Linked DNA regions of Macaca mulatta. The protein of the gene in region 1 purifies or fractionates together with the protein of each later gene. This does not show direct contact. Links are inferred from orthologs where the notes say so. Each region holds a gene or a part of one and is shown on either strand. Other genes may lie near its edges.

What was found. Proteins that work in one complex are often made in the same cells at the same time.
Region 2: the proteins of LGALS1 (region 1) and MET purify together in Homo sapiens (affinity purification with mass spectrometry; 3 studies listed by BioGRID and IntAct, with this or other methods). This does not show direct contact. The link is inferred for Macaca mulatta from reciprocal best matches to the Homo sapiens genes LGALS1 and MET.
Region 3: the proteins of LGALS1 (region 1) and FN1 purify together in Homo sapiens (affinity purification with mass spectrometry; 3 studies listed by BioGRID and IntAct, with this or other methods). This does not show direct contact. The link is inferred for Macaca mulatta from reciprocal best matches to the Homo sapiens genes LGALS1 and FN1.

What each region holds. Positions count from the first base shown.
Region 1 is NC_133415.1:13,851,755-13,855,505, reverse strand, and holds the start of LGALS1 (galectin-1), read left to right. Parts: upstream 1-1,004; 5' UTR 1,005-1,064; coding exon 1,065-1,073; intron 1,074-2,345; coding exon 2,346-2,425; intron 2,426-3,751. UniProt on the Homo sapiens protein: Lectin that binds beta-galactoside and a wide array of complex carbohydrates. Plays a role in regulating apoptosis, cell proliferation and cell differentiation. Inhibits CD45 protein phosphatase activity and therefore the dephosphorylation of Lyn kinase.
Region 2 is NC_133408.1:156,310,821-156,314,471, reverse strand, and holds part of MET (hepatocyte growth factor receptor), read right to left. Parts: intron 1,468-3,651; coding exon 1,249-1,467; intron 1-1,248. UniProt on the Homo sapiens protein: Receptor tyrosine kinase that transduces signals from the extracellular matrix into the cytoplasm by binding to hepatocyte growth factor/HGF ligand. Regulates many physiological processes including proliferation, scattering, morphogenesis and survival.
Region 3 is NC_133417.1:120,612,018-120,615,668, forward strand, and holds part of FN1 (fibronectin), read right to left. Parts: intron 3,478-3,651; coding exon 3,349-3,477; intron 3,249-3,348; coding exon 3,159-3,248; intron 2,368-3,158; coding exon 2,173-2,367; intron 1,547-2,172; coding exon 1,274-1,546; intron 1-1,273. UniProt on the Homo sapiens protein: Fibronectins bind cell surfaces and various compounds including collagen, fibrin, heparin, DNA, and actin. Fibronectins are involved in cell adhesion, cell motility, opsonization, wound healing, and maintenance of cell shape.

The sequences.
Region 1 (3,751 bases):
GGGGAGCTTTTTGAGCCAGGATGAGCCAGGAAAAGGAACTTCACAAGATAATATAATTGCTTAAGGCAAGGGCTGGCCATTTTCACTTCTTTTGTGGTAGAATGTCATCAGTTACTGCAAGGCAGGGCATTTGCACTTCTTTTGTGATTCTTCAGTTACTTCAGGCCATCTGGGCATACGTGCAAGTCACAGGGGATGCGATGGTTTGGCTTGGGCTCAGAGGCCTGACAGGTGCACAGAGCTAGGACCCCACCCCCTCCTGGCCTGGACCACCCTGGGCCATCTCCCCAGCTTGACACTCAGGCCAGAGGCTGTCAGGCCAGGGCGCTTTGACTATCCCCTGCATGCCCCTGAAGGGGGCCAAGCCCGAGGACTTAGCCAAGCCCTGCAACCTAAGGCTTGGCGTGCAGCCCAGCCTTTCCTTAGCCTTAGCTAGGAGCGAGCAAGCGCTGCAGCAGCCGCAGTCCTTGCTTCCGGGGAAGGCCCGGGTGGCGCCAGGGCCTGTGGTTTAAGTCGGTGGCCCTCTGCAGACGCGCACGCAGGAGCCACGCCCTGGTCCCTGCCCTGGAGTGGCCTGGTCTCTCCCAGCTCTGATTCCTTGAAGGACCCTGCACCTCCTCAGCCATCTTCTCTGGGCACCCCCTGAGCTCAGCCTGCTGGCCACAGGCCCCTTCCCGCCAACTCGTGGGCCTAGCTCATCATCAAACTATTTTCCATTGGCTTCCCCCAATCTCTGCCACAGCACAATTTCGGTGGTGGCGGGGCAGGGGGAGGTGGAGAGGGATGAAGAATAGGAGGTGGAGCTTGGACCCTCGTGGGGGGGCGGCAGATGGCCACTCTGATTGGTCACCTCTGCTCCAGAACTGGCTTCAAAATTCCACGGACTCCGCCCTCGGTGGCCCCCAGCCCTGTCCTGACTTGCAATTGGCTGAACTTCCAGGGGGCGGGGCTCACCCGGTCCGGTCCCGTTAAAAGGGTGGGAGCGTCCGGGGGCCCATCTCTCTCGGGTGGAGTCTTCTAACAGCTGGTGCGCCTCTCCTGGCAACATCCTCCTGGCCTCAATCATGGCTTGTGTGAGTGTGGGGACCCCACCCCAAGGTCCAGGGGATAGGGCAGGAGCTGATGGCCGGAGGAGAGCTGGGCAGATCGGGAGCAGGGTTCTAGCCCCAGCTGTGTGGCCTGGAACCACTGCCTTCTCTTTTCTAGACCTCAGTAGCCACATCTGTAAAATTGGGGTGGGCGCCATGGTCCCTCAAGGCCTTCTCTGCATTGATAATTGTTTGGATTCCTCCAGGGTCTGAAAGCACAGTTATTTCTGCCCAGGGTTGACATTCTGCAGCTCTCTGAGTAGTGAGCGTGGGAAGGGTGTGGCCAACTGGGGGACACCCAGGCCACTATATCTTTCCCCCTCCTCCACCCCAAAAAGCCTCCCGTCCCCTCCCCCCTGCAGCTGTCCCAGTCACCAGGCCCGGGCAGAGTCACCCTCTGCTCCAGAATACGCTGAAAAGTCGCCAGGACCCGAGACAGGCTGCCCAGGATGGGCCTTTCTAGGTCGGGGGTGGAGGGTGGTTGTGTCCAGGCTGGTGGGAGGGAGGGGAGCCGGGGAAATTCCCTTCCACCACCCCCAAGCTGGGAGGTTGGGGTGGCAGGGAGGTGAGAATCTTCCTCGGGCCCCAGGGAAAGGGTTCAAGTTTCTGACAGAAGAAACCACTCAAATCAGTTAACTCTTGCCCACCCACTCGGGGTGCCAGGGAGCAGCAGTGCGCAGCAGTTTTCTCAATCTTGTTAACCCTGAACCAGCCTGGCCACAGCCCGACTGCAGGCCACTCCCTAATGCAGAGGGGCCGTGTTCTTCAGGGTCTCCTCTCTAGCCCCTGGGCCTCTTCGCAGAGAGGAGCTTGAAGGAGAATAGTAGTGTCCCCCTAGCCACTTCCTCTCCAGCAGAGGGGTCGACCCCTGCATTCAGTGTGACTGTGGGCCAACTGCCTGCCCCTCCCCAGCCTGATCCTCTCTATCTGCGATGGGACAGAGCACCCCACCTCCCAAGCCACTCTTGAGTTCAAAATCCCCAGGCCAATCTGCAAAATCTTCTAGAGCCTGTCTTCTAGAACCTGATTCACATTACAGATTGAAGCCAACCCTGTTGGGAATAGGGACTTTTCCAGGACCACACAGAGAATCAGAGGCTAGAAATCACAGCCCCATCCTGTCCCCAGGCTTCCCCTTGGCTTGGTCAGAGGATGCCGGGCGGGAACAACCCCACTCCCACCCCCAGCCACCCCCGGACACTTCGGGTAGTGGAGGCCTTGTCCTCTAACCTGCTGGGCCGGGGCTTGTCTGTGCAGGGTCTGGTCGCCAGCAACCTGAATCTCAAACCTGGAGAGTGCCTCCGAGTGCGGGGCGAGGTGGCCCCCGACGCCAAGAGGTGAGAGGTGAAGTCAGGGTGGTGGGCGGCAGGGATGGGGGCTTGGTCCAGCCGAGAGGGCGTGGCCGGCCAAGTCCACGTCTCCTCCCTGGCCGAGAGTGGGTTAACGGCCGGCCGACGTTGCTGCGCTTTCTGGGTGACTCACTTCCCCCGCGGGGTCTGGGCGCCCCCACCATTGCCGCCCCCTCCCCCGCTCCCTCCCTGCTGTAGCCTCTTAAACTACAACAGCTGCAGCCTCGTCATCTATAATACCTTGGTTCCCCCGCCCCCACCCCTTTCCGGTCTGGGCGGGGCCTGCATCTGGGGAGGGCGGGGAGAAGAGTGAGGCGGGAGTCACCGCCGCCTTCCCTCTGAGTCCCTCCCTCCTGCGTCAGGTCATTCATTCACTGGCTCAGTCCTGTCCTTCTTCCTTCACTCCTCGTTCACTCAGCCGGCTGCCTTATTTTCTCAGCAGCTATGTGACCTTGGACCAGTCAACCAACCTCACCTAGCCTCATTTTGTTAGAAAAACAAGGGGGGGGAGGTGGTTGTGTGGAGGAAGTGAGATGCCGATGGTGTAGTGATGATGAGGAGGGTGAGGATCGGCTGATATTGTTAAGAGCTGATATTGTTAAGAGCCGTACACTTCTCATGCACTAATTTCATTGCAACCAAACCCTCAGAGGCAGGTATAGCTATTATCACCACTAAACAAATGCATTTATTATTTTATTTTTTGAGACGGAGTCTCACCCTGTCCTCCAGGCTGGAGTGCAATGGCTTGATCTCGGCTCACCACAACCTCCATCTCCTGGGTTCAAACGATTCTCCTGCCTCAGCCTCCCGAGTAGCTGGGACTACAGGTGCCTACCACCACGCCCAGCTACTTTTTGTACTTTTAGTAGAGATGGGGGTTCACCATGTTGGCCAGGCTGGTCTCGAACCCCTGACCTCATGATCTGCCCACCTCGGCCTCCCAAAGTGCTGGGGTTACAGGAGTGAGCCACCGTGCCCAGGAGTATTATTATTTGTTAATTCACCCCATAATTACTAAGCATCTCCTTCTGGTGTGCCCCACTTGTGCTGGGCACCAGGAACACAGATGTACAAGACAGGACGTGAAGTTGCCATCTGGAGGAAGTCTCTGACCTTGACCAAAAGGGCTAGGACGCTAGTGACTTCAAGAATCTAGCAAGTCCTCCTGTGCAGCCCCCATTGTACAGATGAGCAAACAGGCAAGGAGGGGCAGGGACTAGCTCACGTTCACACCGTAAGCAGCTGTCAGGGCCAGAGCTAGAATCCAGGTTTCTTGTCTCTGTTAGTGAGTTCTTCAAGCAAAGTGTGTTC
Region 2 (3,651 bases), on another chromosome or scaffold:
GTGTAAAACTATTTGCACATAAACCTTTGTTATCATCAAGAAAAACCAATTGGAATCTTTCAAATGGCAAAAACAGTAATTGTTGAAAGCAAAAGGTCACACTAGATTAGTTTTATTGAAAAAAAAAAAGAAGTGATAAAAGCTTATTTCTCCCTTTCTAAAACTAATTAAAGAAGCAGATGAAAGGACTTTGCTGTTGTAAACACACTGTTCATTGAAGCGGGCTTCCATTCAATTTCATGCTGGGCTTGCTTAATTATCGTACAAAACACAATAATGAGGTTAGTAAACTTGTATGAGCGTGAACATATGCATAAGTTGGGCTGTAGTTAAATTTTTGTTGAAAAAGTCAGAAAAATTTTGATGGAAATATATTATTACTTAGATGGATATGTCCCATGAAAGCCTATATTGCACCCAAATAAAGACTATCCTATTGCTTTATGTTTGTTCATATTTGCATTCAGATCATCTTTCAAGAAAAAAAAATTTCTAAACGTTTTAACAACATGTTGAAGGATAAATATTTTGCTGTTTCTAGTGACTGCAGCTATGAATAATTCAAGTCTTGAGCATTTTGCCTGTGTTATTATTTGAAGTAGAAATAACTGAAGGGACATAAAAAAGCTGCACTCTAGTCTTTATTATTCTGCCACTCTTTTGTCACTTGTCAATCACTTAACCTTTCTGGGTCTTAGTGTTCTTTGTTTGCAACAGGCTTGCTTTAGAAAAGATGACCTGTTATTCTCTATTAAATTATATTTAGAAGCTAATATGTTCCTAAGGTGGCAGATATCTAGTTCCATTTACAAATTAGCTTAGAGATGACCACACCCAGATACAAAATTCCAAGTATAACAAGGAAGTACAGAGATACAATTGATGCATTTACTTTCACAGCTCTTATGTTTTATCTTATAATGAGCACATTTAGGTAAAATGTCCGGGGAAACGTATAACATCAGCAAGATAATGCAGCACAGGGATCCTCTTTAATGGATTTGTGTCCCACATTTGCTACGTTTTAATACATACACAAGAAAGGGTTTTTAAATGGTTCATTAAAATGCAGTCCACGGTTATTCTTATCTTTTAGTTTTATGCCAAAAAGATTTGTTTTTCAGAGCTTATATATTTGCTGGTGTTGCATAAGATACAACGGCCAAGTACAACAATTGTATTCACATAGCTATGAAGTCAATTAAGTTTGAGCTGATGATTTAAGACAGTGTTTAAAGCATTTCTTACCTTAATTTCCAGTACATTTTCATTGCCCATTGAGATCATTACTGGCTTTTCAAAAGGCTTAAACACAGGATTATGTACATAAATGAGATCAAAGTATTTGGAAAGGATCCCATCTAACATGAAAAAGGCTTTGGTTTTCAGAGGGAGTTGCAGATTCAGCTGTTGCAGGGAAGGAGTGGTACAGCAGATTATCTCTGAATTAGAGCGATGCTGACATGCCTAGAGAAAGACACAATTATCCACTGTAAACAGAATACGGCTTGGCAACATCCACAGCAACTTTATAATTCACCACTCCAATCAATTGAAAATATAGAGTTTTTGAAAAAAATCTGTATTTAGCTTCTTAATGTTAGACTACACATTTCTGGAAACACGATACATGCAAAATTATCCAAACAACCCAGCCTTCAGAGAAACACAGACCTCCACCTGCCCAGCATAAACCATGCTGATGAATCTGAAGCTGGCCCTCATCCCATCATTTTATTTTCCTTAAGAAGACAGGACAGTCACCTGGAGGAATTGCCCCTTGTTGTGTGAGGCAGGCAGGCAGACTGGGAGCTGGGCTTTGTGGGGTTAGAAGGCTTTGGCTCCTCTCCTAGCTTTAACCCAAGCTATGGGAACAGAGGCAGGGCCCACACTAAATAACTCAGTTTCCTCATTTAGGAATTAAGATGAAAATGCTATTTACCACGTAGGATACCACATGGTAAAGTGCTTTGTAAAGTGCCAAGCACCATATGGTGAACATGATAATTAACTATGTAGTTAGGTAATCTTATTAGTGTGTTTTAAGCTATTAATTATTGAATGATAGGTTTTGTGCAAAATGCTTTACAAGGTTGGTCTCATTTAATTCTCATGATAATCCTATCAGTGGGTATTATGATTATGCACAGTTTACAAATTAAGAAACTGAGCTTTGCAAACTTATGTCATTAGACCAGGTCACACAGCTTGGAGTGGCGGAATAGCGAATATAAATCCTAGGCCATTAACTCCAAAATTCAATGTCTTCGCTCCCATGCTATTTTTTTGTCCATGACATATTTTATATTGAAACCTTTTCCTATGCTCTCTATTTTACAAAGCCTCTGCTATTATTATTTCATGCCCTTTCATGTCTCATTTCAAATCTTCCTCTTTGGAATTCTGATTTATGGAATTTTGGAAAATGTAGCTTCCTCTTGATTGTACTTAGACTAAACCAGCAACACACAGTGGTACATCTAAGGTTAACAGTTGCGTTTTTCCCCCAAGGAAAAGACAAACAAGCAACAACATCCCTTAGATTTCCTTTTCTTTGACAAGTATAGTTGGGGATAAAACAATCACTTATGCCCACAATACAAAAAGGACTCAGGATATACATAAAAAGGACAAACAGAATTTGTTATTTGCTATTCTCTTTAAAAAATAATTAAAAAAAGATCTTACATTAAAAATGTTTATCAGCAGCAGATAAAACTTTTAGAGACATAATATGGATAAAATTTTATTATTGAGTTTTATATAAAATTAATATTATAATGCTAAAAGCTATTTATTCCTAATGGACATGAACAATTTTACTGCCATCACAATAATTGTTTACATAACAAGGAATCTGAGAACTACACAATAAACTGCAGGCTTCTGGGGCGTAATGCACACGTTAACAAATTAATATACATTTTTTTATGAAGATGATTGTTTTTGTTTTGAAAGGATTAGAGTTTATTGGACTTAAAGTTATTGTGGCTGGACCTATATATCTAAATCAGACCTGACCAAGAGTTTTTATTTGTTAAATAATAAATGGGTTCAATTCATCATGGTCAGCTTTAAATCCTATAAGTGGCAGGGAACATGGAAGGAATACATATCTCTTTATAAAGTAGTTTTCACAAACGACAGTAAAACAAATAGCAAATAGTAAAATAGATCCACTGCATTTTTCACTCTTGTCCGATTCTAATGCATACTTCTACTGTACTAACATGTTTGTGGCTAAAACAACAGAAGTTTATATTTCCAGAAAAATAAACAAATAAGATGTTTATTGTCTGCCATTGTTTGAATCATCCTTGGGATATGCAACTCTTATGTGTGACACCTAAAAAGTTTTTAATAAATATTTGATTACAAATGAATGACTGAAGCTAAGAGGCATTCTGCGTGTCACCTTAATGCTAGTGAGGGAGAAGAAAGGAAATTCAGTCATTATCTTAATAATGTACGCTCAGCATTAATTCGATAAACTAATAATTTCTCAGATTTCTACTTTAAAAGGTCTCATACCAACACCAAAGAGGGTTACTGTTATTCTTATTTGGTTAATGAAAAATTGTTATGCTTAGTTGTGGAGAACTGATGTCCTTTAAATTAATAGCAGTGGTACTCTAACTTTGTTTGTGGCCA
Region 3 (3,651 bases), on another chromosome or scaffold:
GTATTTTTAAAAAGGCAAAACAAACACTTCTGAACTTCACAGGTTGCTCTGAGCCAAACAGATTAAGGAAAAAGGGATATGCCTCCTAAAATGACAGCAAGAAGAAGCTCTCTATGGGTCAGAAGCAATATTCTGTGAAGAGTCCCTGCTAGAGAAATAAAAGTTATTTTCACATGGTTCAGATTAGACAGTAATTACAGTAATGATAACATATCCTCAGATTCATGGTAGGATACTGGTGAGTTTGCACTATCAGAATCACATAAGTTGTGGAGTTTATTCTTAAGAATAATAACCAGCAGTTTTCCCACCGAAATTTAAATTACATTTCAAATAGAGGAAATATTTAAGAGGCAGTCAAGTATAATAATTCAGAGCATGGGCTTTGGACATAGGTTATAGAGCCAGCTCTATCCATTCCTATCTCTGTGACCCTACAAGTTCCAGAATTTTTTTAAAGCCTCAGTTTCTTTATGTATTCAATATGGATACTAGTAAGACCTTCCAGCTGGGCACGATGGCTCATGCCTGTAATCCTAGCACTTTGGGAGGCCAAGGTGGGTGGATCACTTGAGGTCAGGAGTTTGAGACCAGCCTGGCCAACATAGTGAAACCTGTTTCTACTAAAAATACAAAAATTAGCAGGGCATGGTAGCGCATGCCTGTAGTCCCAGCTACTTGGGAGGCTGAGGCAAGAGAATCGCTTGAACCCAGGAGGTGGAGGTTGCAGTGAGCTGAGACTGCGCCACTACTGTCCAGCCCTGGCGACAGAGCGAGACTCCATCTCAAAAAAATAAAAAATAATAATAATAATAAGACCTTCCTTCCTAAGGTCAAAACAGAGAGTAAATATGAGAATAATGCTTGTAAAAACTGAGCAGATAAGCTGGTGGCTAGTAATACTAGATACTTGACAATTGCTATTCTTAAATGAATTCTACTGTGTTACGATCCTGCATTTTAACTTTGATCTAGATATATTTAGTTACAGGAAAAATGCACTCAAATTAGATTCTCTTCAGTTCTCCCTCTTAGTACCCTTCAGCTGATACATGTATTTTAGAAATGGGTTACCACTTAGCCTCATGGAGCTTGTTTGAGTTTTGTTTTCAAGTTTAATGTGCTTTGTGTTCACTATGCATTCCCTTGCCAGCTGGGTATTTCCCTCTCTCTAAGCCATACACCTCTGAGTCAATGGTTTGCTGCACTTCCTCACGGGCTGGAAGTGAGGGTGGAGAATTTGGAGGGGAGGTAAAGATAGGAAAAGACATACTGGTTGTCTGTTCGGCAGTCAGAGGCTTGCTCTCCCTCCCGTGGTTCACGGCAAAGACTTTGAAGTAATAGGTGACCCCAGGGGACAGCCCGGTGACTTCTGCGAAGGTGTTCCTGCTGATGGGCAACCTCTGCCCGTGCTCCCCAGGCAGGTTGACGGGGATCACATCCACGCGGTAGCCGGTCACTGCACTCTCAGGCGGTGTCCACATGATGGTGACCTTCACGTCTGTCACTTCCACAAACTGCAGGTCCCTGGGAGAGGGCACTGTATCTGACAGACAAGAGTCAACCAGTCATTCACATTTTCTGCTGAAGATTATTTTTAAGAAGCCAGTTTCTCGGATATGATAGGCAGTTCACTGAGCCTCTCATTCGAGAGTTTTGCTAAGTTTTGTCTCTTAATCAGATCATATTTTCATGGCCCCGTCATAGTGCTTAAATTATGACATTTGAACCTTTTGTCTAAAATAGTTAGGTAATAAATGAGTTACCAGCATATGAAGTGTCATATGATGGTGAGGGGAGAGGATTATAAGAAAAGATACTAAAAAACAAAACAAAACAAACAAAAACCTTTGAAATAACTGCAGAAAATAATGTAATGGTTTTTGTTTTACTGAATCATTTTATAATACTTAAGAATCAAAGATGAAATGACCCTTGAGCTTCTGGGAGAAAATTTGTAGACGGACGTTATGGTGTTGGTTTTTAATAAGAAAGGCCAGTAGCCAGCTTTGATAAGTTACTTATGACATTTCAGCTAAACATCAGAAGTTTAGGGAAAAACTATTGCATAAGATTATTTGAATGTGGGAACTATTGACAGAGACAAAACCACCCCCCCTCAGGAACAATCTTGATAACATAACATAGGAAGTGTCTTCTTAAAAAAGTTACCTGAACGTGGGGTGCCAGTGGTTTCTTGTTGAATGAAAACAGGTGTACTTTCTTGATTTTCTTCCACGGCAAAGATAGTGATGTTATACTGAACGCCAGGTTGCAAGTCACTGAGGGTGACGGAGTTTGCAGTTTCAGGAAGGTTGAGTTCTGTGCTGCTGCCTTCTACTGACGGTGAATAGACTATTCTGTACCCTGCAGATGGATCAACAAAAGTTAAGATGCACTGTTTTCTTTGAGACCGAGGCTTAGAAACACCATAAATCCTCCCTTTTCGAATATTCCTTAGCATCTTGCTTGATTAGTGAAGAGCCAGTGATTCTTTTTGACTCTTTTAATATTGCCACTTCTTGTAATAATGACTACTCAGCACGAAGATAAAATAAGAACAGTCATGCAAACCTTGTTAATAATAAATGTCATCCTTGAAGACCTGAGATCCTTAATAAATGTCAATTAGAGATGCCATTAGGTGAAAATATTCATGTTAAGCTGATTTTTCCTCTTTGAGCTCCAGATGAGGGAAGCAATTAATGAACCAGCCTGAGCAGAGTTGTCTAGCACTGTGTGTGTCTTTTTGGAACTTCAGTGATGAGGCAGTTGAATCACCTAATGAGCTAAGAAGGCAGCTCAGCTTTCTCCTTAAGGATAAATCTTAGAGCAAGGTTTTCAGGAAAATTACACCTCTTCAACCCTGGGAACACTTGCTTTAATAAGCCAATGAGCTGGCTTTACAGGTTGTGTGTATGTTGTGGTGTGTGTGTATAAGGGAGTTGGTAAAATGGTTTCGAGGGGAAATGTGCCATAGAAAATAACTCCCCCCGACACACACACACACACACACACACACACACACACACACCTCTCTCCCATAAATTATATTGGAGATTTAAAGTGATATGCAGATCCACAGTCAGAATCTGCGCCCTCCCTGTTGATGTCATTAAGATTAACATAGCAGCCAAAGAGCGGGAGGCTCAGCTGACCTGTGATGGGAGCCTGGGGTCTGCTCCAGCGAACAACAATTGAGGTGTCATCAACTTGGTCCACAGTCGGGTCAGGAGGGGCATCGGGCGCTAAGAAAGAAAGAAAGTGGGGCAAACAGTCAGGAAGTGCTACTACAGGCCTGTGTTTTACAGAAAAAGATTCTTTTAACATTATGTAGCACACAGGTACCTGTTGTTTGTGAAGTAGACAGGATCAAACTCTGCTCCCCATCCTCAGATATCTCATAGACATTTACAATGTATTTTCGGCCAGGAAGCAGGTCAGGGATGTTCACGGAAGTGGCTGTGCTTGGAAGATCTTTGAAATGAAAAGACAAGGTAACTAATCGGAGCAAACTAGTCCCTCAAATGACTCTACAGCTTAGAAGAAGGATATTTTAAGAACTATATATTCATAGGGAAAAATGACTGAAGGTAATGTGCTAATAGATAATCAGTGATTATTATTTTTACGGAGTCTTGCTGTGTTGCC